2 linked regions of the Caenorhabditis elegans genome follow. The protein of the gene in region 1 interacts with the protein of each later gene in a pairwise test. Each region holds a gene or a part of one and is shown in the gene's direction. Other genes may lie near its edges. The genes, in order: hst-2 and mig-15.

Evidence for each region.
Region 2: the proteins of hst-2 (region 1) and mig-15 interact in a two-hybrid assay, tested with the Caenorhabditis elegans proteins (one large-scale study listed by BioGRID).

The regions. Positions count from the first base shown.
Region 1 is NC_003284.9:11,200,410-11,216,047, reverse strand, and holds hst-2 (Heparan sulfate 2-O-sulfotransferase hst-2), read left to right. Parts: upstream 1-8,892; 5' UTR 8,893-8,959; coding exon 8,960-9,097; intron 9,098-9,151; coding exon 9,152-9,256; intron 9,257-9,304; coding exon 9,305-9,411; intron 9,412-9,502; coding exon 9,503-9,638; intron 9,639-9,949; coding exon 9,950-10,047; intron 10,048-10,093; coding exon 10,094-10,257; intron 10,258-10,740; coding exon 10,741-10,882; intron 10,883-11,507; coding exon 11,508-11,592; 3' UTR 11,593-11,945; downstream 11,946-15,638. Other genes in the region: idh-2 (Isocitrate dehydrogenase [NADP]), read right to left, coding at 1-42; C34F6.7 (uncharacterized protein), read left to right, coding at 579-657, 721-936, 1,808-1,927, 1,977-2,114, 2,168-2,283, 2,338-2,426, 3,997-4,102, 4,150-4,355 and 2 more; C34F6.5 (NR LBD domain-containing protein), read left to right, coding at 7,176-7,224, 7,378-7,668, 7,937-8,122, 8,173-8,283, 8,331-8,416, 8,534-8,560; C34F6.11 (MARVEL domain-containing protein), read left to right, coding at 12,120-12,245, 12,757-12,855, 12,905-13,009, 13,059-13,195, 13,246-13,343, 13,387-13,469; col-179 (Nematode cuticle collagen N-terminal domain-containing protein), read right to left, coding at 13,606-14,266, 14,319-14,509. UniProt on the Caenorhabditis elegans protein: Catalyzes the transfer of sulfate to the C2-position of selected hexuronic acid residues within the maturing heparan sulfate (HS).
Region 2 is NC_003284.9:10,426,942-10,442,579, reverse strand, and holds the start of mig-15 (Serine/threonine-protein kinase mig-15), read left to right. Parts: upstream 1-14,005; coding exon 14,006-14,050; intron 14,051-14,428; coding exon 14,429-14,596; intron 14,597-14,891; coding exon 14,892-15,089; intron 15,090-15,136; coding exon 15,137-15,377; intron 15,378-15,638. UniProt on the Caenorhabditis elegans protein: Involved in cell migration and signal transduction. Important in several developmental processes including epidermal development, Q neuroblast migrations and muscle arm targeting.

The DNA.
Region 1 (15,638 bases):
GCGAGCAAGAAGTACGTTGCGTGATGTCAGACGGCTTAACATTTTTACCTGAATAATTTGTTTTGATAAAATAGATTAAATTAAGAAAATGTCTTTGAAACAAGTTCATACGTTAAAAAAAACAACAAAATGGAACAAATGCAGCCATCGTTTGTACGCGCAAACGGTCACTTTGATAAGAAGGACAAGGAATTGTCGTGTTATCTTGATACATTGCCAGGTCGTTCTTGCTGATTCGATTCCGAAGGAGGAGAGATTATAGAGGGTCAGAGAATGAAACAAACAGGCGGAGGATAGGATAGAAGGCTGGGTCGATAGTGTACTGGTGCAAACTGTTTGATCCTCGCATCATAGTCCACAAAAAACTCAAGGTCCCCTTTTCCCGGCTACGTACGCAGGCAGAGAAAACGACGCACTTTTGCGGACAGAATGGAAGGAGAAGAGAACGTCGCTTTAGATGAAGATTTTCAAATACATTACGTGGAATCTCAATTATTATTGATTTCTTTCATGCTTAAAGCTTATATTTAGTTTTTTTTTCGTTCTGTTCTTTCTTTTAATGTGCTTCATTTTTCAGGATGACCTCAATAAAACGAGGTACATGGTTTTTCATCTTCGTACTCGGAGTTTTTACAGCCATTACGTGTGAATTTACTAGTGAGTTTTTTTAAAATTATTTATGAATTGTTCATTAATTATAAAGAAAATTAATCTTTGTAGCTCAGCTAACATATCTTCACGTGGTCAGTCACATAGCTATCTTAACAGCGGCCCACTTTGCATTGGTATTCCCACCGGAGGAACTGCTCGACGGACTCGGGCTCACACTTTTTGACTTGTTTACAATTCTATATAATTCAAGACAGCACGACTTTGTGGAGTATGCTGCAAAACGGGTGGCATTCTTTCACGCATTTGTTGCCTTCTATCCCTGTGGTGAGTGTTGGAATTTTTTCAAAAGTGAAAAGGACAACAGAATCCTACAAAATAAAATAACAATTTCGGACAAATGATTGAACCTCAAATGACGGCTCGCCGATTTTTTCAGTAATGCATTTCAAAAGACAAACATTGTTTAGTAATGAAAGCTTCGACTACAAATTCAATACGAATACAATTGGATCTAGTAACTCATGAAATAGCTTGAAGGAGGGCTAACGGTTCGGACAACTTTAAACGTAGAGATCCAAAATGTGCTCAAATGAACGAATTTTTTAATGTAAAAATATTGGTAATCTCATTTTATTCCGGTAATTAAGGTACATTCAAAAATTTCGGTTATTTTTTATACCTGATACCTATCGGCCTAAGAAAAAAAACCTATCGGCTTGAAAAAAATCTTAATCAACCAAATAATGTGATAAACTTTCAAAATGGCACAGCAAAGTAAGCAAAATTCATAATTTTTCCAAATTTTGAACCGCCATAAAGCTTTTTGAAACATTTTTGATGAGTCTCATTACCTAATTCGTTCATTTAAGCACTATTTGAGCCTATAAGTTCAAAATAGCCAAGGCCGTTACTCCTCCTTCAACGAGTTTTCAAAATATATAATTCCAAATTTTAGGATTTCTCAGATGCGTTTAAGTACCCTCTTATTAATTTGAAACTGAATCGATTCGTCAGATCTATTTTACTTTCTACATATGTATGAACTGATTAAAACATATGCGCACAAAATAATTTAGTATTGTTAATATTCGAGTTTGAATAAGACTTGAAATAAATATTTTGAAAGACAAATAGAGTTTTTTTTTTAAATTTTCATCACGTTTCTGCATTTATTGTTTAGAAAAATCAATTTCAGTCATTGCTGCCTACTTCGTGCATGGAAACATCTTGATGACTGCAGCTGACACTCGTCGATTTCCATCAGTTCTGGATTATCCTTGGATGTGGTTCACAGTGCTTTTTGTCGCTTTGATTGGTAATGAAGTTTTCCTGAAAACGCGGTCAATTGTCATTTTAAATTACAGCAAACGGTTATTATTGCATTCGGATCAAAGACTACAAAAAATGGCCTATCTACCAATACTACATAGATAACCCGGACTGCGTGAATGAAGCACAAACGGTGATTGCTGATCCAGAAACTTTTCGGATAAAATTGTCCCGTGCGTTATTCGATTGATAAGTTAAAAACATTAGTTATTTCCAATATTTTCAGAGCGCAGCTTCCTCTTTGTCACTCGTAATTTCCTTGTCTACACATCAAATTGGAGATTTATGGCTGTCAAGTTGGCTGATGTCCGGCTTCAGGTGGACAACACAAGGATGCCAATGGTTTGTGATAACTAGAAATATATCAGAAAGAAAAATACGACTAACATTGTTAAGCTTCCGAATCAGGATGAAGAAGAGCGGATACGATCAATTTTTGTGAAAGTCAGCTTCCGCCCTGCCTATATAACACCGTTCACTATCACGTAAGCGTTTATATGGATTTTTTAAATCAGATACAATTGATCTATTCTAGAAAAGTTTCAGAAAAAATGTCAAATTTCAAAAAAAAAAACAGATCCCAGAGAAATATTAGCCTTACTAGGGAACCGTCACAAGGTGCCACTCGCTTTTTGGACGAAACATGTTTCATGTGAAAGCCCATGTTGAGAAACGGTAAAATGTCAATTTTTAGCTGCAAAATTTCAGAATTGAGCTCAGGGTGAGAATTAAAAGTTGCTTACATCAGTACTAACTGCGCACTCCCGCCGCAATATTAGCGTATCGGTGAGGGTTGTGGTGGTTATTTTATGTGAAATATATAATTTTTTGTCCATTGAAACGTTTTTGCTACTTTGAACAAAGTTTAGAAGCTTTTTGAAAAATTTTTTTTTTGAAAATTCTGAAATGTGAAAAAATAATCCAAAAAAAAATTTTTTTTTCAAACTTTTTTCAAAAGTGTTTTAAATTTTTACAGTTGATAGACAAGTGTTAAAAACCTAAAAATAACAACTTGATGAATTCGGGTTTAGATTTTTTAACAGAAAAAGTTACCTGTTTACTTGCTTTTTTTGCGAATTGTACCTTAACTTTGAGCTATGATATCTCTGTGATGAGCTACGGTCTTGTTTAGCGATCAACTACGAAGTTGTAGCAAATTTTCTGTTTAACATTTTAGTAATTGATTAGTTTTTGCTATCAGTGATTTTCACAGACTAACATACCTGTGAGACTGTACAACTTTTAATCGTATATTCCATGAACGTGAATGCCCTTTTTTCTGCGTGGGGTACTAATACCTAAAATTAACTAATTAACAAAGTGTTAAACAGAAAATTTGCTACAACTTTGTAGTTGATCGCTAAACAAAACCGTGGCTTATCACAGAGATATCATAGCTCAAAGTTAAGGTACAATTCGCAAAAAAAGCAAGTAAACAGTTAACTTTTTCTGTTAAAAAATCTAAACCCGGATTAAGCAAGTTGTTATTTTTAGGTTTTTAACACTTGTCTATCAACTGTAAAAGTTTAAAACACTTTTGAAAAAAACAATTTTTTCAAAAAGCTTCTAAACTTTGTTCAAAGTAGCAAAAACGTTTCAATGGACAAAAATTTATATATTTCACATAAAATAATTACCACAACCCTCACCGATACGCTAATATTGCGGCGGGAGTGCGCAGTTAGTACTGATGTGAGCAACTTTTAATTCTCACCCTGAGCTCAATTCTGAAATTTTGCAGCTAAAAATTGACATTTTACCGTTTCTCAACATGGGCTTTCACATGAAACATGTTTCGTCCAAAAAGCGAGTGGCACCTTGTGACGGTTCCCTAGTTAGAACAAAATCAACTTTTGAAGAAACATTAAAATAAGTTTCCTGAAAATACTTTTAAAATAGTTTTGAAAAGTTTTAAACAGCAAAAGATTTATAAAACCGAAAACGAACTGTACAGTAACCTTGTACTACCAGAACAGTACACTTTCCATTTTTTCTTAGTTTTCACAAATTACATGTAGTTAACTTGTTCAATATTTTTAAACAAATCTTTTTCAGCCTACGTCAAGACTATTATCGTCAACTGAATGAGATACTCGAAGTACCAATTTTTGTTCCCCCTCATATAAACGTCCCCTTGACTTTCATGGAGGAGCTGAAAGAGGTCAGATTTTTCAACCGGGTCTGATAATTTGAATCAAAGTTTTTTAGGATTTTATTCAACGAATAGCAAGCAACACCCGTGTAACACACCGTGTGAAAGCAAGTGAAAAGGATCCATGTTTTGCATGTGGAACTGAAGAAAATATGGTGAAAATTGAAAGATCTTGCGATGGCCAGGAGCAACGAGTTTTCTTTCACGACATTGGCGCCCGATTCACTCCACCGTGCGAGAACTGCATTTGTCGTCCTTTATGGTAAAATATTTTCCTATCAATCAAGAACAGAGTCGAAATGAACGTGTGTGTCCAGTCATGATCTTGAGGTCAATTACCATACTGACCGACTAATTATGGTCCAAATAGGGGAGCAAGGGGGTTTCATTAAGAGATGACAGCTGGGTACGGACCTCAAGAAAGATACCACGCTTTTCACAAATGCAGCTGTCTCTGTGTCCATTATCTCAACATGCAATAAAAGCGATTCCCGCACCGAAGACAAGTTGAATATATAATTAGTTGTGTTATTTCAGGTGCAGAAGTTGCCTAGCTCAAATTTTCATTGGAAGGCAGAACATAGATAACGTCTACCGATATGAGTACCATCGAGGAAGTGCGCAATGCCCAACTTGCAGGTATTAAATTATCTGTTTTATAAACTGAGCGTTTTAATTTGTCTTAACAAAAATGTCCATGTTTGAAACTATTTTATATCACTACTCAAAAACATTTCAAGCTTTGAGATATCATATCACCTATTCTCAAAGTTGAATTTTCGAAGCTCTTTAATTTTAATTTATGTAAACCCAAAACAGAGTTTCAAAATTTTACTTAATATGTAAGTAAAGAAATCATCCTCTCAGACCTTTGAAATTTCATCATTCTTGATTTTTCAAACAACAAATAAGAAAACTCAAAGTGCAAGTTTTGAAAAATCCAATTATTTTTAGCTTTCCCATCATATCGTCACACTTCAATATATTTATTTCCAGAAAGAATTTCTGCATCCGGGACGTGCATTGTGTTGATTTCGACTACATCTCGGAGGAAAATTGATATTTTGAGAAGATTCCCTTAGCTGTGATTGCTTTTCTCTGTATGTCGTTGACGCACCATCCGTTCCTTAGTCGTGTATATATGTAGCATTTTCTCGATTTGTTGTCTCTCGAAATGCGCGAAGCACATTTCCGCCAAGCATCATCCTTATCCGCGTCTCTCCCTCATTTTCCCCTCTCTCTATTTCGAACAGCAGACTTTCGGGCTTCAAGCAGATGGTCTGCGGCGTTCTCTCTGGTTCACATGTGTTATGGGTCACGCAGCTGTTTTTACCGTGTTATGCCCTCCCGATCGCCTTTCACCACCAGCCTTCTGGTTCATCCTCACTTTACATTCCCCTCTCGTTTCACGGCTCAGAGTTTACCCAGCCCTATACCGCCGCGCGATCGGACAGCACATTCACTTTATGCAGCTTTCATTCAATTGACATACTGTTTTTGAGTTCACCCACATTTCTCTTTCCCATGTACCTTATTTCATAAAGGTCATGCAGCTCGTTCAATTCAATGTTGCGGTGTTGGGTAAACGAGTTAGTAATCATTGAGTGTGTCCCCCAATACTTGTCACAAAGCGTTTTGTCCCACTGACCGACTAAGAGCAAATTTGAGTAATAATTCTTTTGTTGTACACCATAGCGCTACATCATATTCACCCTCGCGACTTAGCGCACTTCTGCCACATTTTTTTGTCCCAGCCCAGTTTTTTCCTTTGATACGGTGTTCCATCTCTGTTTTAACTACCATTTTTGCCTTTTCCTTCTCGTGATTCCAATAAACTTGACATTTTGAGATCAGTGCCCGAAAAGAATAATAGACTGCGGATGCAAAATAAACAAAGAGTAAGAAGAGGTCAATGAAATGAACAAATATGTACTACTATACTGAACAGTTATACACGATTTGCAGTACTACGAACATTCGAAAATGTTTCAAATGATTTATATCGACATATTAAAAAATGTTAAAATGTCTATTTAAAAGTATGAAAATTTCAATCTATTAAATATTATTGGACAGTTATGAAAGGAAACTATTAACTAGTTCATGACATTGGATGAAGTTTGGAATCTGCTGTTTTTAGGGAATTTACAAATTGTAATTCAAATCAGGGAAGGGCGACAGTTTAATAATTTGACAAATGTTTAAAGAAAACTTAGAAGAAATAGCGTCATTTAGGCTTATCGTCATTAATTTATACAATTGATTGTGAAAAAATTCAACAATGGGCACTTTTGGCAATTGGCATCAACCCATAATCAAATCTAAAAAAGGACCATTTTTAAAAGCAAAACCAATTTTATCTTATCTAAAATTAATATGCGTTTAAATCGAAAAAACAGTTGTAAAATACGGTTATGCCATTTCTTTAATTATCTTTTACGTTTGTCAGTTAGAATTGTTGTTATCGTGTTTATACGTAAAAAATGGTCCCCTGGATATTTCGAAAAACCTGTCAAAAATTGATTTTTATTCAATATTCGATCAATACTAGGTTGACTTCAATTGAATATGATTTATGACTATCTTGAACAATCATTTGAGACCATAATGTGTTCCTCCTGTCCGTAATAAGGTGAAGATGATGTGAGTCTTCTTCATTAGCTACGTTCTACTTGCATAGCTGCAATGTTTTAGTTTCTCCGGCAATGTTGTGTATTTTATTTTCAAAACTCCATGAACAGTCATGAAAACTATTGTCTCGACGGCTCGGTGCCATGCTACGGTAGATTTTCTTTGTTGAGGTGAAATGACTAGAGTTTTTCGCGCTATTAACAATTTATTTTCGATAATGAAGTTGATAAATAACACATTATCGATGTTAATTGACACCTTGAAAGCCCAGGTACCACTGTTACTCTCTCCTCTGTGTTCCCACCTTCCCCACACCTTATCAGTCTTCTAATTCATTCCCTCACTTCGACATACGTGAGAGCACACCAGTACGTATCGATCCGCCAATTGCTTTCGTATTCGTTTACTCTCCACACACGCTATTTTTCTTTTCAGGAGGATATAAGCCAAAATGGCTGCCACGACGTCGTCGGCAGGAGCAACGAACAGAGAGCAAGCTGGTGAGCGCTAGGGCTGTTGTTGCCTTTGTTGCCTAACAAAGAGCTTTCAACTTTATTAAAAGTATAATTTTGTCAATCTATACGTAAACTTTGACATACAACTCTCGCGCTTACTTCAATACATGTTTCTTAATCTAACGGTGAAAATTTCAGACCGTCACATGGAGATGATACGGTATCGAGGGTATTCTGTCAGAAGTATTCCACTTGATAGAAACATGGAACACGCTGCAGGACCAAGCCCACCAGTAGAACAAGGTGTCCAATTGGAACAAGATCTAGAAGAAATTATTGATATTCATGAGGTGGATGATGAAGAAGAAGAAGATGAAGACCAGAATTTGATAGAACCCGTACGATTGACACCGCCGAATCCCGTTCCTTGTCAACTGGACAAGTTTCATCGGTACCTAAAAATTGGCTTCTTCCTGGCTTCAATTGAAGGCAAGTCTTGAATAGTTTTCAAAAGATAGCATATGTTGAAAACGTCAGAAAAATTCATTGGCGTTTTAGCAGGTAGAAACCATTAGATTTTTTTTCCATAAGAGTGGACCGTGTACCCACTGATAACATAACAAATTTATTAAAAAGACATGACAGCATAAAATAAGCCAACAATACGATGTGAGCCTTATTATTTATAAACGGCGGCTATTGAATAAAAATTAACTAGAGTTGAGATTTTAAGCTTATAATGTAATGCATTTTTCAGTTCTTTCCGATAGATCCGATGGCAATATAGAAGAAATTCGTGAGCACGCAAAGAATAAGTTCGAAGAACTTGTTAAGAGCACAGGAGAAATGCTTGAGCCAGAAATCCCAGTAAAAGAACCATGTGGCACGTCGAAAATCAAACGTGATTTGAAGAGGATGTCAAAACATTTGAAATTTTTCAACGGTATAGAAACTGCTTTCTGTGAGGTTCCTTGAAACTATCAAAATTTGCAGAACTTTTCATAAAATTCGTCTCGGAATTTGATGGTTCACCGGTGCGTCTCAACAAATTGCGAAGAGCTACAGGTTTCATCAAAGGAATATTGGTTTTGGAGAATATTTCAGGTGCATAATTTTTACAATTTTACACTGAAAATAATGAACGTTTTTAGTCTTTAATATCCCACAAACCTCGACACCTGGAAATTATGCCAAAGACTTGGACATTTTTAAAGTAAATGCACTTCTCTTCATGCAGGTAATATTTTTAATCATGAACTTCCGAAAAAAAAAGGTACCATATAATACTCAAAAAAAAATTTTTTGACACCTTCGAAAATCAGTTTTGTATACAACAATATTAATTTAATTTCAGTATCTCAAGTTTCTCGAAAACCAATAAGGAGCAGCAACACCAACTGCATCTTGCAGATACCCGTTCATTTTAATTATACACGTTTTCTTCATGTTTTACTCATTTTCACTCATCTTTCCATGTCAATCTCCTCTTTCCAAATCTGCCAGAAGTGATTTTTCAATCGAGCACCCTGTGACAAAGTTCTTAATTCAAATTTATTTTTTTCTGTGAATTATAATTTTTCTTCAACATTAATCGTGAAAAATAAATCATTTTACATTTTACTACTATCTGCCTGTCGATACATTAGATAACTATCGACAAGTGCGTCAGCAAAAAGAACACACATATCATTAGAGACGCAGACATCGGTGTCTACGTCAGCAAGCGATAGGAAGACGCACAAACCGTGCACCAGCCATTTTTTGAACTGTTTCATCTAAAATGCTGTGGAAAAAGCGAAAAGTTCTATATTTTGCTGGGATTTCTGTATTTATACTTATTTTATTGTTACTAAAGTTGAATTCAAAGCCAAAAGCAAATGTATGGCCAACTTCTAGTAAAATTGTAATTTATAATCGAGTGAGTTTGCATTTCTTGTGGACAAAATTATAATTAATTCATACTCCTTTGCAGATACCCAAAACTGGCTCAACAACGTTCACAAATGCAATTGCGTATGATTTATACAAAGAAAATGGATTTAGTGTACTACACGTGAATATGACAAAAAATCGACAGGTACTAAAATATATTATTTAGTGTTCCACATTTTTAACGATTTTTTAGGTAATGAGCCTTCCTGATCAATACACCTTTGTAAATAATATTACAACATGGACGGAGCGGCTGCCGGCATTCTATCATGGACACGTTGCATTTATCGATTTTCAACGGTCAATATTCACTTATATTCATTCATAAGTTGTCTTATTTTCAAAAAACATTTGAAAATCATAATCTGAAAATATGAGTTCATAATTTCAGATTCGGTATTGCCAATCCCATATACATCAACATTATTCGTGAGCCATTAGAACGTCTACTTTCCCATTACTATTTCCTTCGATACGGTGACAACTACAGAATTGGCTTGAAGAGAAGTCGTGCAGGAAACAATGAGGTGAGAATTTATTTTTTTAGTGCTTTAAGTTTAAAAAATATAACAAAATTGAAGAATTTAAACACGGAGAATATTGTGATATGATTTTTTTAGAATCAACTTTGCTTGAAAAATAAGTACAGTTCTAAAATAATTGTTTCGCTCTTGTATTACTTTGAAACACTATTTGAGCGTAATTGAATCACTGCTAATTTTGAAATAAATGCAGTTTTTTATCGGTAGAATATTAAGGTTCAAAACCATAAAAATAGTAATTTACTACCAGAGATATTCTCAATTTTACAGAAACCTGTGAAATGTTTCATTTTCAGACATTCGACGAATGCTATTCTCGAGGTGGTAAAGACTGCGACATGAAACAAATGTGGATCCAGATTCCGTATTTTTGCGGACACTATCATTTTTGCACGTAAGTTGGTATCTTAAGTTTTCGGATAAATATGTATTATTTTCAGAGAAGTCGGGAATCCCGAAGCATTAAGAGTTGCAAAGCAAAATGTGCTGGAAAAGTATTTGTTAGTTGGGACAACATCAAGAATGCGTGATATGATAGCACTTCTGGAAGTAACGGTCCCCGACTTTTTCAAAGGTGCTCTAGGACATTTTGATAGTCTTGATGGTAAGCGTGTTTTTTCTTTTAATCAAATAATATACCATCAGTCAAAGAAAAAATAACTTTGAACGTTTTCTCTGAGATGTATAGCAGATTTTTCGAACAAAAAAGTCCTCCGAATTGTATACTAAGAAATAATCGTACCACGTCAGCGAGCATATATTATTATAATAAACGTATGATTGAAGGACCAATTATGCGTTGCAGAAATTTTTTTTTTAAGTTTTTACATCGGGAAAAATAAACAAAAAATGAACCCACTTGGAAATTCGATAACTAATGTGATCAGATTTGTGTAAAATAAAAACATAAATTTCCTTCGATGAGAAAAGAGAATGAGTGTATGATGATGCATTTTTCATCAGGAACCTGTACATACTTGAAAATTTTGGTCAGCTTTTCCAATTTAAATTCCTATTAGTTTTGTGACTGTCAACTATTATATTTAGGTGCTTTCATTTGATTTTTAATGTAAAAATATCCTTACAGCCAACAGAGCCCACTTACGATACACAAAGAAAAAGATCCCACCAAACGATCAGACTCTTTCGATGATCCGTCGTGATGAAGTTTATAAAATGGAACGAGAATTTTATGATTTTATCAACAATTTATTCGACGCGGTTTTCAAGTGAGTTTTCATTCAAAATATTGACAATTCAAATGCGTGAATATGTGAACTTCTCTTCTTTATTTAATTTTTCATGTCATTTTAATTTCGGTTTTCCCTTTTCTGATCCCTCATTACATTCGCCCGACCAGTGGCTCATTTATTAGCTTAATTTATTTCACCAAAATAAGTATGCACGAAAAAAGAGAAAAGAGCAAAAGGCGTTCAATCAAGTACGTCGCGAGAGCAAAAGAGAATGTCGTGTTTCATTAGCAATTCTTATTTTAGTTGATACATAGACTATGACAAACTACTCAGAAAAAAAGTTATACGCATCTTTACTGGTTTTTGATCTTGTTTCTTAACTAGTTTATTAATTTTATTAGATCTCGTATACTCCAAAAAGTTTTGTACTTAATAACTTGAATTTTATCGGGATTCACCTAGACAAAAGTTCTGTTCGAGGCCAAATTGATTCACCGTTGATTCGCGTTCATGCGCATAATGTTTTTTTTTGCATTTTGCACTTTATGGATCTTGACAGAAAATACGTCTGTGGCAAATCTACTGCATTTCTATTTTTATGCCGTATTTTTTAAACACCAAAAAACTAATCAAATCAGTAGTTCAATGAATGACATTTCAGAAAAGCCACAAATGGAATCTCAAAAGCAGACGATCTTGTCAAGCTTCCGCTCCAATACCACTTTGAGAAAATTAAACCATCATAATTCCTTCCTCTATTCACTTTCCTCAATTAAAAATCTTAAACTCGCTTAGCTTTTCGTGTAACTTGCATCTATATCAGATTTTATTAATTGTTTTATTCCCATATGTAATTATTTCTTCTCTGAAAAAACTACGCTTGTACTTTTTTTTTCTGGTGCTTTTCCCCATCTCTCATCATTGCGTTGTGTGCTTCTTTTTCATCTTCATCTTCAATTTTTCTTCAATTTTTCCAACAATCCCAAAACAAAACCAAACGGGTCGAGCGATCTATTGCAGCAATTCACTATGCCATCTGGTTAGTTTTTACGTATAATAAATGTTGTGTATGATTTGAATAAAAATAAGTTTGTGTACATGTCATAACTTGCGAAAAATGTAATACAGAACGTCTAGACAAGAAAAAAATAAAATAAACGAGAGCATGAACAGAATTATGTTGTGTGTCGAGAGACTACATTTACGACAATGATAAGAGCATTTTTGTCTCGTCCTCCATCGATTTCTTCAATATTTTTACTCCATTCTTCCCATGAGTCGATGTTCCGCAGTTTGTAAACCAATACGTCACTGCTTTTGTTGTATTTTAGTGCCAATCAAGTCAGTATGGAAGAGATTCAACAATAGATTTACAGCATTCTCGCTGGCAGTAGATAGGGTGAGTAAGGAAATGAGTAATTAAAACTGATGAAAATGAAATGAAAAAAAAGTGGAATGAAAGTTGCACCACAATTAAAATATTTCACTTTTTCAATTATAATAATGACGGGAAAATTGAGTGAATTATAATAATGATCTTCAAAGGTGAACTAGTTTTTTTAACACATCGAAAAATTCAAACAAAAAAAAATGAACTAAGGTTTCGGAAAATTGCCAAATTTACTTTATTTTTTGGTTAAATATATTAGAAATGACAGTAAGTTCAAGGTCAAAATTCATAGCTACATTTGTTAAATATCGCTTTTTAATAATTTCGTACGGAAAACGTTGACGTTTTAATGTGTTATCAAATTATACATACATATTAACTTGAATCTGCCTAACAGAGAAACTTTTTGGACGAAATTTTTGTTAGTCTAAAATTTTGAATTTTTCAATTTTGTTAAAAATCTAATACGAACATTTAGGTATACCCCTTTTTTTCATAATACTGTGATTTGATGTTTTAGATTGTTCAAGAACGGAATCTGTTGAGCGTTCCAGAAGGAATTTGGACGTTTTTCTGCTATAGCGTTTATATAAACTTCATTTTCGCCCTTTTAGCATTTGTAAGGACTTATGCTGCATTATTCTTTAAAGGTTCACTTCAAGTTTCAGGTTGGCGGAGTTTTGTGTTTTACATTAGGTCTCTACTATTCAACATTTTACACCAGAATAAACTGTGAAAATGGAATCAATATTTGGATTCCGTTAAACAATTTGGTATGTTCTAGACAACGAAGTAGAAATTTCGATTAAAATCATTTTATAGATTGCAACATGGACAGGATTTTTTGCAGTAAAAGCACTTCATATCCGGTGGTCCGCTTTTGTCCATTTGGTCTTCACTGCTACAATGACACCTTTGATGTTGGTTGCGGCCATTTTTGCTACGACGCAAGTTCCTGTGTAAGTGGAAACATCCAATTAACACAATATATTGTTATATTAAATTACAGTTGGTTTGAAGAACAACGAATGTCTCGCGGAAACAAGGATTATGGATATTGGAATGCAAGTGGCGACAGCATGCTTGCAATTTGTTCTTATATAATTGGTAAGAAACGTTCACGCAAAGTTAACATTTGTGATTGTTTCAGTGCTTCTTTCTGTCTTTGAATTATATGTCTACTACAAGTACTGGCTGCCCGGTGGACAGATAATGAGAGCTCGAGACGTTTGAGCTGATCAGTAACACAACGTTATTGGGTATTCAATGATTTCATCGATCGTTGTGTATTGTAAATATGTTTTAATGAGAAGCCAAATAAATATAAAAACTTTTTATTAAAACGTCTAATAACACTATGAAAAACCTATTAATATCCTGGGGCAGTGCGTGGAGGTGGGCAGTGATCGCAAGATCCCTTTGGTCCAGCGGCTCCAGCAGCTCCGTTCTCTCCATCTTCTCCGTCCTTTCCTGGCTCTCCTTGACCTCCATTGTCTCCTGGTGGTCCTGGTGGTCCGTTACGTCCTGGATGTCCAGCACGTCCATCTGGTCCTGGCTCTCCTGGCGATCCTGGTTCTCCTGGTTGTCCTGGTTGTCCTGGTGGAGATGGAGCTGAGCGAGTTTGTCCGGCTTGTCCTGGACGTCCTCCTTCTCCGTCTGGTCCGGCCTCTCCTGGTGGCCCACGTGGTCCTGGTGGTCCGCGGTTTCCTCCACGTCCTGGTCCTCCAAGCTCTCCTGGACCTCCTGGTGGTCCTGGTGGTCCCTTTGGTCCTGGTCCTCCAACGGCTCCTGGTGGTCCAGCTGGGCAGTCGAAGCAAAACTCTGGAGCCTTGTAATGGAAACCTTGCTCATCAGCGTCAGCTCCTGGTGCTCCTGGTTGTCCAGCTTTTCCGTCATTTCCAGGGGCTCCTTCTTGTCCTGGAACTCCAGCTGGTCCAGTTTCTCCAATACCGCATGAACAGCAAGTTTGTGGAGTTTGACGTTTCTGTCTTCCAGCTTCACGAGTAACAGAAAGTTGTTCGATTTCTCCCCTGTAAATTTCAACAGTCAATTTATTACAGAAATGTATAGAAAAAAACTCACTTAATATACACATTCTTAGACTTGCAGAAGAGAAGCTCTTCAGAAAGGCCAGATGTAACGGATTGCATATGAACACAGAAAAGTGGAATAGCAATGATTGCAATCAATGTAGCTACGGTTGAGACCGCAACTCCAAAGAAAGCAAACTTTTTAAGGTCGGCTGCGTACGCAAACTTTGCTTTGTCTTCCATTGCACTATTCGGTGTTATTCAATATCTCCAAGCCGTTCTTTTATACTTACTACCTAACGGAACAAGGAAGTTTTGCCACGCCTTCTTAAACTTGTGGATTTTTTTCTGCAATCACTTTGCAACCTTTGTCTCTTCGCGACGCGTTCTCTTTAGTGGCAGGTTTGTGTCGCCATCTCACAATTACTGCGTATCATTTTTCTGAGTATCATGGAATTTCATTTTTTGGCTGAGAGAAAATATATAGAAAATTGATACTTGGGCAAGATCATTTAGGAAAACAATCACTGAAACGCGCGAAATTAAGAAAAATACTAAATATTCAATTCATAACTCTGATAGAGAATGAGAAACATGTATGAAAGCTGCATATCTTGTTACTGGTTAATCATTATCATTCTTACTTTATCATTTTAAGTGCCAAGGAAAATGACGTCTAAACAACATCGTGCAGCAATTTTGAAAATCTATATTTAACATTTTCAGGTTTGAGAATGGTCCGTGTGAGAATAAATATATTGTTAAAATTTTCACAAAATTAAACAATTGATGTATAACGATGTTCGCTTGTTTGTAACAACATGTATATATATATAGAAAAAAAAGTATATATAGAAAAAAAACGCTGTGAAAAACCATACTATCGTTTCCGTTTTGTAACCCGTTTCTTTATAAAATGTACCACAAAAAATTAACGAGAATTTTTTGAAACTTTGTTCGTCATGAACTCGTCAGTAAATGTGCTTCTGGTGCTGACTGTTTTAGCTACATATATAATTTGCCATTTGAGGCCTACCAAACAATGGTTTCTACTAACATTATGTTAAGTTATCAAGAGTAGAAATACATTTCTGTCTCAAATCGAGTCCTATTTGCTCTGTGTTAAAATCTGTTCACATTGAATTTTGTGATAGCCTCTCTTGTTAGTAGTTCAGTTATTTTTCAGGATAAAAATCTATATATTTATGCTCTATTTTTAACTGAAAATAATCTTTCAGAGGCACTTTTTTGTATATGCGAACCATTTGCGAATCTTTACGCGAACTACTCGTGGGAGTTATATACTCAATATAGAGCCATTATTTCATTATGCGAATGATGTAAGATGAGTAATTGAGGCAATTTTTTATTA
Region 2 (15,638 bases), 780 kb from region 1:
TGGAATTTTCCAAAAATCAGATTGTCTGGCGTCAAAGTGACATTTTAAAAGAAAAATATATCATATGCACAGACCAAAGAAAAAGAGAACACGTGCACTGACCCAAGAAAAATAAAACATTTGCACTGACCAAAAAAAATTAACGTGCACTGACCAACGAAAAATAAAATATGTGCACTGACAAAATAAATAAATGTGCACTGTCCAAAAAAAAACATGTGCACTGACCAACAAAAAACATTTGCACTGACCAAAAAAAAATTAGCGTGCACAAAGCAAAAAAAAAGATGCCACATGCACTGATCAAAGAAAAATAAAACATTTGCAATGACTAAAAAAGATGGAACGTGCACTGACCAAAGAAAAAAGTGGGCTACCAGTCATACCGTTCCTTGACATTGACCACAGGGCACCACACAAATTGAACATCTCTTGATGCTCTTCACACCTTGACCACGAACTGAAAGGTGCCTAAACTATTGTCCATAACTTTTCCACATCCATCCTGGACTTCAGTCTGTGTTTCTTCTCGCATCTCCCAGAGTATTGAGACTCTCGATTCTTTATTCTTTTTCTCGACTTCCCAGAAGCCGCTCCTGTCCATTCGTTCGCGACTTCCGAATAAAATATTTCTGAAATCAATGACATATTGAGAAAATACGCTTGTTCAAGTAGATTTTTCTGGTGCTTCGAGATAACACTGTGAGGAACCATCAAACCGCTCTGGGAAAGCGGGTTTATTTTTGTACCTGTGAAGATAAACAATCATCCTTAATATTATGTACTACTGAAGACAGCTTTCCGTTTAGCCATTTGAGTAGATTTTTACATAAGTTATATGTGCAAGTTTGTGCAATTTTCGTGACGAATTCCAAAATTATCTGAATTTTGTAGACGTCAAGTTCTCTGTAAAAAGATCTGATAAACATCATTGTCATATTGTGAAAATGAAGACAGGGAAGATTTCAAGAAATTTAAATGTTATCTATGTTATAATTCCGCATTACATTGGAACTGCTAAAATTCACAACAAAATCACAAGCATTATGTTTCTAACGGTCTCTGGCCAAATTAAATTGTCGAAGTAATCTGAAACACAAACATGAGCAGCACACAAATGGGCGCGCAAGATAGACATACAGTCATTCTTCTTTGTAAGTCCTCAAAAGAACATTGTGCACCCCCTGTTAACCGTTCCTGTTTCTGAATTGCATTCGTTTTTTGTCTGTTTTAATCCGTCAGTCACTCCATCTATTTGTTGTTCATATCATGTTCTGAAGTTTTTTCTGTGTTTAATTATACATTTTCCATGTTTTATAACTTGAGATTAGGGCAGTTCATAAAAAGCAAAAGCCTGGTGAGCTTCAGTGTTTGAGACTCTTCTTTTTTTTTAACTATTTGAAACGTGCAAATCAAGCCTAACTTTCATTGCACTTCTTCAGTTTATTTGATTACTCTTAAATGAAAAAAAAGTAATTCGTTACATTTGAAAATGATGATGTATACCGATTCGAATCTAATCAGTTCAAATAAAAAACAATTATCAACATTACAATCACTGCAATGATTGGAGAAATGTGTACTTGAAATTTCAAAAAGATACTTCAGATGCTGATAAGCGAATAATGGGCATATCATGCTTTTGAAAACTATTTTTTGAAAACAAATTTTTTGATGATAATTTCAATAAGCAATACTACCTTTCTGCTTTGAACTGCTTCAAAAAAAAACTCTGGATCACGTTTTTGAAACATTGTTAGTGGTGCTCATAAATCAAGTGATCTACGCTATAATAAAATGCAAACAAACGTAATTACGGTGCCTGCCTACCTCTGACAAAGGTCATCGGGTTCCCACTACCGATTAACTTATTACTGCTAGATTGGTGTTCTCCGTGTATGCCTGCGTGTTTGTTATTGTTCTTCTACAAAATGAGTGTACCTGAGACGGATCAACTAGTATTATTACCATAACTACATACATTGTATTTACATTGTTCCCTCTCGAGTCGAACACTTTCCTTCTTATACCTCTCAACATCTTCTCACTTTTGCCATTTGTAGATGGCGTTTTTATTCAAAAGAGGGTAAACATGTTGATGTCTTGGTTCTTTGTGAGAGTTCCGATAAGGTCTAAACTTTCAACTTTTTATACAACCTGAATTAAATTGTTTCAGTTTTTGACGTATTGAATTCAGCCATCAATTCTTACAAGTTACAACAACAACACATATCTCTTTTTCTTCCTCACAAGCATTCTTTCCGTCTCTTCCTTTTACATGCTTGTCCAGCTTTCATGTCGTCCTGATGTCGTTCTGCTAATTGGCTTTTGCCCTACCACCCCCCAGACGCCTCTTTCTTCAAAAATAATTTGAAATTGTTTTGCAATCTTGTCTTACTGGGTGGTCTTTTTTTATTTTCTTGGTTTCAGACATGTTTTGTGCAGGTTCTCAACATCCACTTTGCAACAATGTATACTGTACCTATATTCATGAACCTCATAAAAATTTAACTCTTCTGATAATCCAATAATGTTATTTATCATTAAAATGTCGCTGTTCACTTAATAAGTTTAGTTGAATTTGGATACAAAATGGAATATTAAAAAACTAACGTTCACTGGGAACGTTACAGAAAACCACCACAGCAATCACTTCAAGTTTAAGTTGAAATTTTCAGTTGGAGCAACGGTTCTGAAAATTGATCAGTGCTCTTTGACAATATGCATGTTTAAAAGTTTTTTTTACCATTTTAGAACTGCACAAAAAATCTGCTATACTTTTGTTAGTAAAAGTTTATTTTCCCGCTTAGCTTTGCCCTATTTTTCCCATGCCGTGAATTTTTGATTACAAATTCTTATTGTTCGCCGCTAAAGAGCGAGAGCAACACCCTTCTCGCTCATTTCATGCGCGTTCGTTTTTAGTAAATCTTGAATAATTCATTTGATTCGAGAAAGAGCACATGATACACTGCTACGTTATACAATTTCTGTATAATGTCTAACGAGTTTATTGTTTATCCAAGGGGTGCGTTCGTTTTACACTCCCATTGCATACATAAACCTATTCAGGTTAACCTTTCTGAATCAAACTTTTCATCTTGTATATCTGATCTTTTAACTTGGTTTTTCAATAACCTATTCCTGCCCACAATGCACATTTTGGTTTTTATTTTGTATTACAAAAGTGTTCCTCTTCTGATGGTAAATAGGAAGGAATCACAAAGAGAAATGAGCCCCAAGGAGGCGACGGCACATTGAATGTATACACATTTTGCGTGAATTTATGCGAAAACGCTTTTTGACGCCAACGATGACAGATGCTGATTGGGGGAAAAAAGAGAAGAAGGGAAAGAAGAAAAGAGAGAAAGTGAGGTGTATAGATTTTATGAAGTCATTCCGTGCCACACACACGTCCATACGCTATGATTTTTCCAATAGGTCGGTCCCCTCAATGACTAGTGGTCCCTTTCCGATGTAACACCTCAGAAACCGGTCTAGCGTCTGGACTTGGATTAGATTTAATCCTGAATAAGATTCTCAATGAGTCTAGAATTGTTAAGCGATTAATAAAGAGTTAGAGTAACTTTAGCACAACATTTTTGTCCGGCTCTCAGTGTTCACCTAGTTAGGAACTTTCTACATCATGCAAAAATTTTAATTGAAAATTGATTGCTCGCTCATGCTCCATGCTCGTTGTGAATTTTGCAAAGTACCCGTTCCCACTATCCAATAAGTTTATTTATTCCATTTTCTCACAAACTGTATTAGCTTTGACTCATACCTCAAATATGTAGGATTTTGAATGAAAATGGCGTCAGGCCTACCATGATTATTCCAATTTTTATAGAAAGTAAAACCAAATTAATAAAATTTAATAAAAATATTATTTTTTGTCGTGTGTCAATGAAGTTATTCTATTCAAAATTTTTTTTATAAAAACCATTTATAATATCCATTTCTGCATCACTTCCTTACTTGTTTTTTTCCCAATAATAACTTTGTCAGTAAACTACCTAAGCCGCAGTTATCTGACATTTTGTTCTTATCACAGCCAGTTGTCTCCACGTAAATCCTTTTTTGTGCAAGAAAGTCTAACGAATAAGGGTATGTCATTTGATGAAAGTCATATTCAGTGTGATTCGAATCTTCAGTGAACACAATACAAGATTCCTAGTGCGTTCATCGTTTCTTGATGTTTTTTTTTAAAATTACACTTGAAAATTATCATCCAACACACTTTTGCTTTGATTATCTATGTTTTTAAAAAATTGAGACTTTATTTACGAGATGTGCAAATTTTTAAAATCTGCACACCAAAATATATATACTCTCAACCCGAAGTTGAAACAAAATACAAAGTTTTTATTTTTACTTCTATCATTATTGCTTCCAAGTCTCCGAGAAATTCTACAACCTGCAAATTAAAACTGTGGTTTGAACGACAACCCACACTACGAAGACTATCTTCTTTAAGTGAAAGACACACTTTAAACCGTGCAAGCTGAAATTAATACTTGATTATTGTTATCTTCAAAAAAAATAATTTGAAACTTCCAAACCTGAGTTTTTTTGATTTAAAGATTTCCCAGACTTGCATAATGTGTTGGTAATGTCATATGTCCCAGGCGGAATGATTCATTACCCTACCAACATCCTCCAGTTTCAATCTCATTATCTATCTTACTCTGATTCAGTTCTATGGTAAAAGAAGCTGTAAATCTTTTGATACCGGACACTGACACACGCCGGCTGTCTCTCTATCCTTCCTCCTTGGCGAGTTTCAAATTTATAACCGGTCAAGTCAGCGCTAACAAAGGAATGAGGAGTGAGTGCCACAAGGTGCCGAATGGGCTTGGAATGTAACCTTGGAAGGATGTTGTCAAAGATGGATGATCAGCCGAAAACCATCCGAGTGAGGAGATGAGGTTAAGAGCGGTTTTGCGGTCTCAAACACACGGTACACTTGTGAAACCTGACACCTATTTTATTTCGGCTACTTTTCCCCTTGTTTACTATTATATTGAAGTAAAACAGAAGTACTTTATTATTGTTTTGAAACCGTTTTACTCAAATTCGGGCATTTGCATCTGTTTGCAAAATTATGAACCTCCGTACTAAATATTTTATTATGAATTAACATTTTTCTGACCGCTTCATTGTAAGAAATAAGCTCCTATATAGAATATCACGGTATACTATGAGATAGGCATGACGTTTATAGTTTAGTTGTTTTGCTGTAAAAATATTTTTTCAAAGTTTGTGATCGTTTTGATAGTCGAAAAACTGTTCGAAATCTAAAATTTGTGCAGCTTGTTTGTGAAAAATAATTTCAAATTTCCGGCCGCAAATCAAAATGTATTAAATTTTGAACTTCCAAATAACTATTTTCAATTAATTAATAGTATTTTTTAATTTCAATTATTTGTATTTTTTTAGAAATCAATTACAGTAAAACACTAAAATTTCCAAGACTTTTTGATTTCCCGCTGTTTATATATGAGTGCATTCTTCTGAAATATAAAAAAAAAGATTTCAAGGAAAACTCTAAAACTGGTACCAACAAGCACGTTGATAGAAGTTTTTGGGGCCGCTGCTGTTGCTGTTCTGTTGTGTGAGTGCAGTGACACAAGGAGAATGATTTCGTTGTGATTCATAAAAGAAGCCGCCGATTCACCTCGTGCCCTTTCTCACAGATCTTTCCATTCTGTTTCTTGGAACTTTATTTCTCTCAATTCATTCTTGACAAATTTGATGATGGCTTTCTTAATTGTCTTCACCTTTGTGTATTTGTGTCTGCACCAGGTTTAATAGCGTATTTGGATGAGGCTGATGATTATCAAGGTTTTTCGATTAAATAATTTCCTAGTTCAATAATCTTCCTTTTTGCGAAAAAAAAACAATCGAGCATACAGTACTTAAAATCAATTTAAAAATATTTCAATGAATGTCATTTTATATGTTGTGAAACCTGCACTTATTTTCAAAATGAAGCTACAATAATTATTGAACTTCTACAATACTTTTACAATAATTCTTATACCACTGAAAAAAAGTGATGACACTATATAATACATCAGGGAAAGGGATTAACTTCAGTACTCTGTAGATCTCGGCTGCATATTTCTTAATTTTCTTAATTTTCATAGTCTATGTAGAGATGAAACACAGAATTATGTATATGTTTAAGAACATTAAATGGAGATGTAGTATGTTATGATTTCATTTTTCCTCACTTGTAAATTAGTTTTAAAAATTAGGAAATGTTATTCAGTTTATTTCGCTCTGACAAGTTACTTTGTTGTGAATTTACATATGAAAATATTTTCAAAACCATCATATCGCTTACTGAAAGGTTTACATTGACTAAGCTTTAGTTGTGATTTTTATTCAAATAATATAATATATGTTTTAGAATATTAACACAATTAAAACATGTAATATACAAATTTTAGCTAAACTTTTATTAGTCCGCCGCAAATAAGTTTAAAATCACGCGTAAGGGATCTAGAACTGAGATGTTAGTTCAGTTAAATTTTCAATATTTTCTAAATGGATGCAAGGATATAAAAGTGAAAGGTTGAAGTGCGGAGAGCAAGAAGCTATCCAATAGCTGCCTTCTCCGCGCAGCGGTGGCTATCCCGTCAATGTTCTATTGCTTCTGCTGCGGTCAGTCAATCATTGATTGTGCAGACAAAGGAAGAGTCGCAGAGCTCGGACTCACTTGCTGCACATTTTGGTTGTGTCCGACAGACAATTGGCGGAGCAAAATAGTGTAGCGGAAGCCTGAGCTGATTGAGAGGGTAAACGGGAGGAAGAGAGAAAAAGAGTCCCGTCCTTTCCGTCAGCCTCGCTCTCCCCGCATGTTCGCGCGATTCGGGGTGGTCTTCTCGTCCTCCTTCTTCTCCTGACGGACACAAACCTCCTCCTTCGCCACTTACTTGCTTTCTTCTCCGTCTCTTCCTCCTCCCGTTTCCTTCTGTTTCTTCTTTTCCAGGCTACATGTGCCTGAGTCTCTTCATCTCTTGGCAGGGTGTGCGGACCACTTTCTGGACACTCCGCGCGGACCGCACACTCTCTTTCGCCAAGCGTCCGGAATCACTCCGTTTTTTTCTAGTGAATTCTACCGTTTATCCCATTACGGTTCACTTTGTGAGCTTTTTTGTGCCTTCTTTTGCAACAAGACACAAATTTTTATTGTTAACATACAAAGTGTAGTTTCAATTTCAATAGGTCCACTTTCAAAATATTTTTTAAGTACGGAGGCTTTAATGAAAAATGCGTCGTGTGAGGTCTTTTTATTAAAAAAAAAGTACACTACAAAGTGTGCCAAAATGTTTTCAATAGCTTAGCCTCTGGTAACATGTGAATACTAACTTGTATACTTTTATATTTTCAAGCTCAGAAATAATAATTCCTAAGCCTAATGTACAAATAAATCTGATGTTTTTATTTTTATTTTTTAATCTACATTTCTCTGTGAAAAATCTATGAATATTTGTGAAATTATTTATGCTTACAAAAGTGTTGCTGATGCAATTTAAAAAAAACAAAACCAATGAATTACTTACTGTGAGAGTTTATAAAATTCTAAAAAAAAACCTGGTAGAACAACATCCTTTTTCTTTTTTCATTTGAATATGTCAAAAATGTTCGGGCAATTTTGTACGATTTTATGGTCATGCAACCGTCAGAAAATCATATATTTCCTCTAAGTAATTATTTTGTGACATTTGCTTTTAACCTATCACAACGACCACTCATTATTTTAATAATCTATCTCATTTAGACAGTAAGACAGCAACGCGTGCTGTGTGTTTTATTTTAATTTTCGTAAAATCTTTTTCTTTTTTTGGGCGTTGACTTTTAAGGAAATTTTGTAGTTATTTCAAAGTTCAGTGGTATATAATAACTGCAAAATCTGTAGAGAAAGAAAACTCTGATCTCCAAAAGTGGGATGTGACTATGTATCAGTTTCCGATGGACCAGACTCCGTAACCCAATATTCTGAATGAAGAGGACCTACGGAAGCTTTTATTTTCCACGTTATAGTTTTCAACATCTCTCGATGCTGTTAATATGCAAAGTATTCAATTTAAATTTAACAATTCACCGATATTTTTGCAAAAAAGTGTTTTAAGCGTTTAAAAAGTGTGACATGTTTCAAAAAAAATAATTAAATGTTGTTCAATCGTCACGTTTTCATAATGCCAAAAACTATGTTATGCTTGGCTTTTGCATTACTTACTCACAATAAGTCAAAAATCTGTCTTATCATAAAAAATGTCTTTTATATTTTCATGAACACAATATGGGTAAAAACACTCTTCCACTTCAGCATTCTTTTTAATACAATTTTTTGCTTCGACCTGAATAATTTTCAACTCCTTTCTCAATTCTTCCGCTCTTTTTGCAATTTTTTGCTGGCTACTCGTTGGCACTTCTTCTATTTTGTTGTCCAGCATCCTCGAGTTATTCGGTGAGGACATAGACCAGGAGGGACGCACAAATAATTTATTGAAGAGATGTACTTTCGCATTGTTGCTGCCACTCCTTTCACGTAATGCATTCGTTGGATGGATTTTTTCGCGTTTCTCGCTCTGCGTCATCATGTTCAATTTTCGTTCTCACGCTCCTGTTGTGCACTATACCGCTATTTTAAAGGTCGCTCTCGCGTACTTGATGGGAATATTACATTTCCAATAGACATTTTAAGGGTAAATTTGTAAATTCTTAAACGAAGGGCGTTTATTCTTCTGTGCTCTGTGAAGTTATTCAATGTTGAATTTTTTTTCGAACCAGAAAAATTCTCTTTAGTGATTTAGTACTAAATAGCAGTAATTTTTGTGTTCCCAAAAACAAAACTCAATTGAGAGTGATTTTTAAAAAAATTAGTTTTTGGTGTGCACACATTGAATACCTTAACAAAACCTTGTAAATTTTGTAGATTAAAATTTATATTTGTTATCACAACTACAAGGTATTCAAAGTTTTAAGTAATTTTAAAATTTTTTAAGCAAAAGTTGTTATTAGATTTTTCGAAATATTTTCAATGAGAAAGCTCAAATTTGTTTTAAAGTTCAATCAAAAATTCAATTTGCTCAAGGCTTATCCCCACAAGCAATCGAAATGAACATGTGATCTACGGAAAATGTTTGAGAAATTTTGCAAATATTAGGTTATCGGCGGATATTCACCAGAGTATATGTTTTGAAAAAGTAATTATATTCAGAATTATGGTACGAAATTTTAATTTACAAAGCTAGTATTTGTTGTGGTTGCTTGAAAAATCAGAACAAGCTTTACTATAAAAATAAGATTGTAAAATTTTCAATAAAAAAAAAGAGTATAGGTATTTTTAAAATGAAGTCTGTTATATGTGGAACAAAATTAAATGTCGGCAAACTTTCCTACAAATTTCAAAGGCCATTTTCAAAGTTTATTTAAAACAAAGAACTAACTATAAGAGCAGGTACGGTGTTTGTTTTTTTTGTTGGTCGTTCCATCATTCATAGTGACATGTAATTATCAGGTACACATTCATCTACACAATCACAATCCCCATTCTTCCATTCACTCTCATCCTTTCTCTCTTTAGGACCGGTCGCTTGTACCGCAAGTAGTGACGAATACTGGTGACCTTTTCCTATTCAATAGAATCGATAGGTTTTGAATTGAATACAAGAGAACCGTTCGGTTTTGCATGGTGAGAACAATCACAGAGCAGTAAAAAGTAGAGTTCACAATTCAAACTGTTTATCTGCCTTTTTTCCTCATCATTCTTTTCCGTTTTATTCACAAGTTCATTTAATTCTTTTCCGCATAAAATATCCGGATCATATGCGCGGAAACTTGTCTCTGACTAAAATCAATAATGATCATAAGATTGCAATATTAGCCGATTGTTTGCTCGCCTTATTCCCTCTGTCTCTCTACCTTTCCTTTAACTTTTCAATCACACCGGTGAGGGCTCCTCCAATAGTTTGCTCCCGGTTTTTCTTGAATTTCACTTTTTCCCAAACAAATTGATTCAATATCAACAGAGATATCGTTTTACTTTTTTTGCAATTGTTGTTCAGAAAAGTTTAGAGTGATACCAACAATTTTACAAGAGATATATGACAAGAGTGGACAGAAGAATCTCAAAGTTTGTGCACACAAACAGCTCCTCAGGGTGCTATTTCGTTCTTAGCATCGCCTTTTTCTTGAAAGTTACTCGTTTTTTGTGAGCATCTGCATTTTTATGGGTTACTCAAAATTTTAACAACCTTCTATTACATTTAAATTTATTTTTCAATATTAAAAAAAAAACACCAATTTTTAAAAGTGAGTAATGTAACATGAGGTATGGTAATTTTGAATTCACATTGCATGTTATCCTTTAATTTTTCTATTCCGCGAATAAATTGTTCACTGAATACATTTCTCCGTTTAAATTATTACTTGTCGTTTTGAAAAACAATAAGTAATCCAAACTGAAAGCTGTTTAGCCCCAAGCAAATTTATTCCAATTTTTCTGTTCAAGTATTTCAAACTTAACCTTTTTTGTGCGCCTCCAGGCTTTCAAATTGTTTGATATATTATTCTGGCACGAGAAGCAAATAGGAAAGAATGGGACTTCTAAAAAAAGTGGGTGTATGTTTTTAGGAAGGAAAAGCTGCTGTTTCTAATGTACTGCTTGTGGGCACATTGTTTGGCTCTTTGAGCCAAAGTGTTGATCTTTTTGGTCCCGAAGGAGTTTTTTGTATGCCCTTGGTTGATCAATTTATAGAGTTGAGAACTTTTTAGTAAGGAATAGTTTTCTTGGGAAGTTTAAGTATTGGTATTACATCGAAAATTGTATTTTGAATTGTAATTCAAAGAAGAGTCTTGAACTATAAAGATTTTTTTTCAATTCAAGCATTGAGAAATTTTACATCTATTATAATAGAGGATGTTATTTTCAAATCATTGAATCTTCATGTTTTGTCCCGTTGAGGTTCCCTTCTTCTCCGAGAATTCTCTCCAAAACCTGTAAGCTCAAGTAAAATCATAGCTCAGCTTCATTTTTTCTTTAAGATGTCAGCTGTCTTCACAATTTTTTTGAACTTTTTGTTATGCGGATTGAGGTGTTGAGGGACTGAAGAAACTCCTACGCCCTTTCTTCCCACAAGTTCTTCACAACAGCTGATAAGAAATGGGAATGATACAGAAAAAGTGAAAAAATGAAACAGTGAATATGATTTCATTTAGTACGAATGAATAAACTGATTTGCATTTTGTGATTCACTATCGTTTTGTAAGGTGAAAAATATTCAGAAAACCATCCATCCTCCGCTCTGTTCTTTTTCGAAGTGTTTTATCTGATTCCCTACTAATGCGGTGATAAAATCGGCACTATCACCATGTGTACCCCCAGTCCATCTCTGTTCCAAGACGCGCGTTGTTGGAGGTCATGGTTATCAAGTTGTGTTGATAAAAAGTAGACCAGTCTTTTATTCTTTATTTTCAATTCGCTCTTTTCTCCTATTTTTCGTGTCAAATGAAAGAACAAGATAAGGCGGATCGGAGAGGTTTTAGAACCAATGCATCGCCACTGGGTGTCATCACTAGACCTTTGGGAACGCTGACTAATTGCTGTTTCACTACACATACATACACACTCTGGCGCCACTGGTCGTTTTTCATTCTGTTTCTTATCTTCCTCGTCGACTTTTTTCTCCCTATTCTTCCATATTTTTTGTCCTACAGCTTTTCAACTTCCTCTATCTATGACTTTTCCCTTTTCTCCGATTCATCAGAAAATGTATTCTGAGCTCTTTTCCACTTTTCGTTCTCTTCCTTAAGCAAGAATGGCAAAGTAAAAAGGAAAAAAGAGCAAGAATAATTTTGACTCCTTCCTCTGGGCTACTTTTTGAGAGCGGCTGTAGTACACTTCTAGAACAACATGAGGTCAAGCTCATGAGAATAGGAGGACAAGGGAAAAGGGGATTTCCGATCTATTGTTATGTACCGACTCACGTTTTCTTTTTTTTTATAAGAGTGATTCAGACCGGATTTTTTAGTAAAATTGTATTTTTAGTTCAATGTTATACTAAAATAATTTTATATTATTGTCTATTTTAAAACGTAACTGTAAAAAATTCGCATTCATTGTTTTTCATTTGAAGAATGTCTCTGAAAATTCTTTAATTCAAAAATGGCAATATTCACATTGTTGTTTTTTGTCGAAAATAAAAAAAGTTGCGGGAACTTCGAAATGCGAATCAAAACTTGTCGTATTTTCTTGATCATTTTTACACACCATGTAATTATTTTGCTACTTCATATTTTAATTCAGTATCATAAGCTATAAAAATTAATGGTACTTGTGTATTATTTCCCCTTAATTTTTTGAAATTGATTATTAAATAAAAACGTGTGGAGTTTTTTTTTTCATTTTTAGGCATAGTAAATTACCATTTCTAAATTAATAAGCTACAAAGATATTCAGAAAAAGATATAGCTTATAAGCTGTCAAAGCAAAGCATTCGGTGCAGGACATGGAAAACTTTTAAATGAAAACACGTGTTTTGAAATTAACATATATTTCAAAATATGAATTCTACATCAGAACATGTTGTGAGCAATTCAAAATTTTCAATAAATAATAATTTTGGCAATAGATTCATGTTGTAAATTAAAAAAATCAGGCAATATATTAATATTTTATGGTTTTTTGATACAATCCTTTTTTTCTTCTGAAAAAATTGTTCCCGAAATGGATACTATGTAGGCTAAATAAAACGTTTCCACAAGAATAGTTTTTGTTTGTAATTTAAAACCTCTCCTTCTTTTTGCAACGTCTAAATAGGAAATATACCTCAATGTGCCATAACCTTGTTTTTTTTAGCCATGAGCGTCACTAGGATCTAGTGGTCGTAGAGACAAATACCATCGCTAAATCATTGTTAATCGGCCATTGGAGAGAATATTCGTTAAATTGATACATCTACCCCTTACTCGATCCCCCTTCATTTATTCACCATCATTAATATCTATTTAGAAGATAAGCATCATTTCATCTCAAATCAATATAATAAATGTAGATCACCAAACAGAGGCATCCCGCTATTCTCACTCAGTCGGCAGCTATATGTGATGCTGCTGTTGCCTTTTTGTGTGTCTTCTTTGGGAATGGACAGGCGCTGTTTCCATTCTTCTCCACCAGCGTCTTCTTCATTCTTCGTCCGTCCTTCATCATTATTCGGGAAAACGAGCGGGGGAATGAAATGGAGAGAGAGAGAAAGGCGGACGTCGGAGGCCTTCTTTTCGGAATCAAGGCGAATTTCTTGCGGCCTTCGATCATCCCTCACTCTCTTTCACAACCTTGTCTGCTTGACCCGATGATGTCTTTTGACCGCTTGTCAATTCAAATTTGCACGTCTTGATTGCTATCAGAAAAATTTAAAATTGCGAGCATTTTTAGGAAATTTTTTTTGCAGCAACAGAATATGAGTTATCCTATTCAACGGTTGTCTGAAACTTAAAAATTGATAATTCTTTCCAACATTATAAGAAAAATATATTGTTTTTGCAGAAAAAACACTTAAGACTTTTCTACTTTTTGAACACATTTAAACAATTTGTGCATTCTCATTTTTTTCCTCTATTTCCCGGCTGTGTAACAATGCTGGACGCGTCCGTCCTCCTTGTGCCGTCCACTGGTCTTTCTCCGACGTCTTTGATGATGCATTCCTTATCGATCTAATTTTCTTTATCACAACATGTGTTTTTTTTTCTGAAACAGAATGGTTGCTTCGTAATAATCTTGGAAACAATATTTTATTTTGAGTCTTTAGATGAAAACAATATATTTCTGTTTTTGTTACTTTTGATATAATCTGAAAATTTTTTTCTGTTTTGTTATACTTCCTGTTTCTTGTAATTTACAATAAGTGTTTTTTTTTTCAGATTCAAGTTAAATTCAAGGAGTCATTGTGTGGTTTAAGTGTCGGCTTGCTCCAAGCCGCTCACAGCACCCAAAACCATGTCGTCATCAGGACTCGACGAGATTGATTTGAATTCTCTAAGGGTGAGTATTCGTGACCACCCATACATCAAGTAGAATGCGCACAATGAATTTACTGAAAAATGTTAATTTTTCTATTCAGTCTGGGTTATCGCCCGTGAAATTAATGGTGTTTCTATAGAAAACTACCTTTTGAAGTTGAATGAAACAATCAATTTTTGTCAGCTTTAAATTTTTGTCTCAAAACTAAGAAAAAGTGTATTTCGCAACATTCACACACACACAGACGAAGTCCCACTTTCTTTCTTCGAGTGTGTGTGTGTGGTGTAACAATTTTAAAAAATCATGTTGCTCTCTTCTCAGAAATATTTACAGCTGAGTAGGGGAAAGAAAATGCGAAACTACACCAAACAACACGGAAATCACAATGATTTTTTTCAGGACCCGGCTGGAATCTTCGAGCTAATTGAGGTTGTTGGAAATGGAACTTACGGGCAAGTGTATAAGGGTCGACACGTTAAAACAGCGCAACTTGCTGCAATCAAAATTATGAATATCAACGAAGATGAAGAAGATGAAATTAAGTTAGAAATTAATATGCTAAAGAAGGTATGTGTTTTGGTTAAACAAAAATATTCCTTTCAAAATTCCCCAAATATGAGAAATGGAATTAAACCTATTTTCGAATTATTAAGTTGTCCAGAATTTTAAATCAGTTAAAAAGAAAAAAAGAAATATCTAATTTCTGATAAATACATTTATAAATTATATTTGTATGAATTGATGAAAACTTAAAAACGAAAGCTATTTTGAAGACAGTTTTGAAATAGTGTGAAAAAGAAATTTCAAAAAAAGGAGAACACATCGATGAGGTCTTACACGGAAGAATCAAATTGATTTGCAGCACTCCCACCACCGGAACGTAGCCACTTATTATGGTGCTTTCATCAAAAAGCTGCCCTCTTCGACCGGAAAACACGATCAATTATGGCTGGTAATGGAGTTTTGTGGAAGTGGTTCTATCACCGATCTTGTAAAAAACACAAAGGGAGGCTCTTTGAAAGAAGAATGGATTGCATATATTTGTAGAGAAATTTTGAGGGTTTGTCTTTACCGATTCTCAGACATTTTCAAATGTATTTCTTATAGGGACTTTACCACTTGCATCAAAGCAAAGTTATCCATCGTGACATAAAAGGTCAAAATGTGCTTCTTACGGACAGTGCTGAGGTGAAGCTGGTAGATTTCGGAGTATCTGCACAACTTGACAAGACAGTTGGAAGAAGAAACACATTTATTGGAACACCATACTGGATGGCTCCCGAAGTTATTGCATGTGATGAAAGCCCTGAAGCTACTTATGATTCACGTTCGGATTTATGGTCTTTGGGTAAGTAATGACGATGTGTAATATAAAAAGTTTTTATAAGGCTTGGTATCAGCATTTCACTGATTTAAACACTGAATTTAGCAACGCACCCAAAATATATTTCTCAATTTTATTAATTTAATTCTACTTACAATAATAATCAAATTGAGGTAAATTGCAGAAAACTAACGCTGATTTCCTTCTCTAGAAAGCTGACAACAAAAAAATATGGCTATCAGCTTACTATTTCGAGAAACTAATTTTTTGGAAAACTTTAGCTAA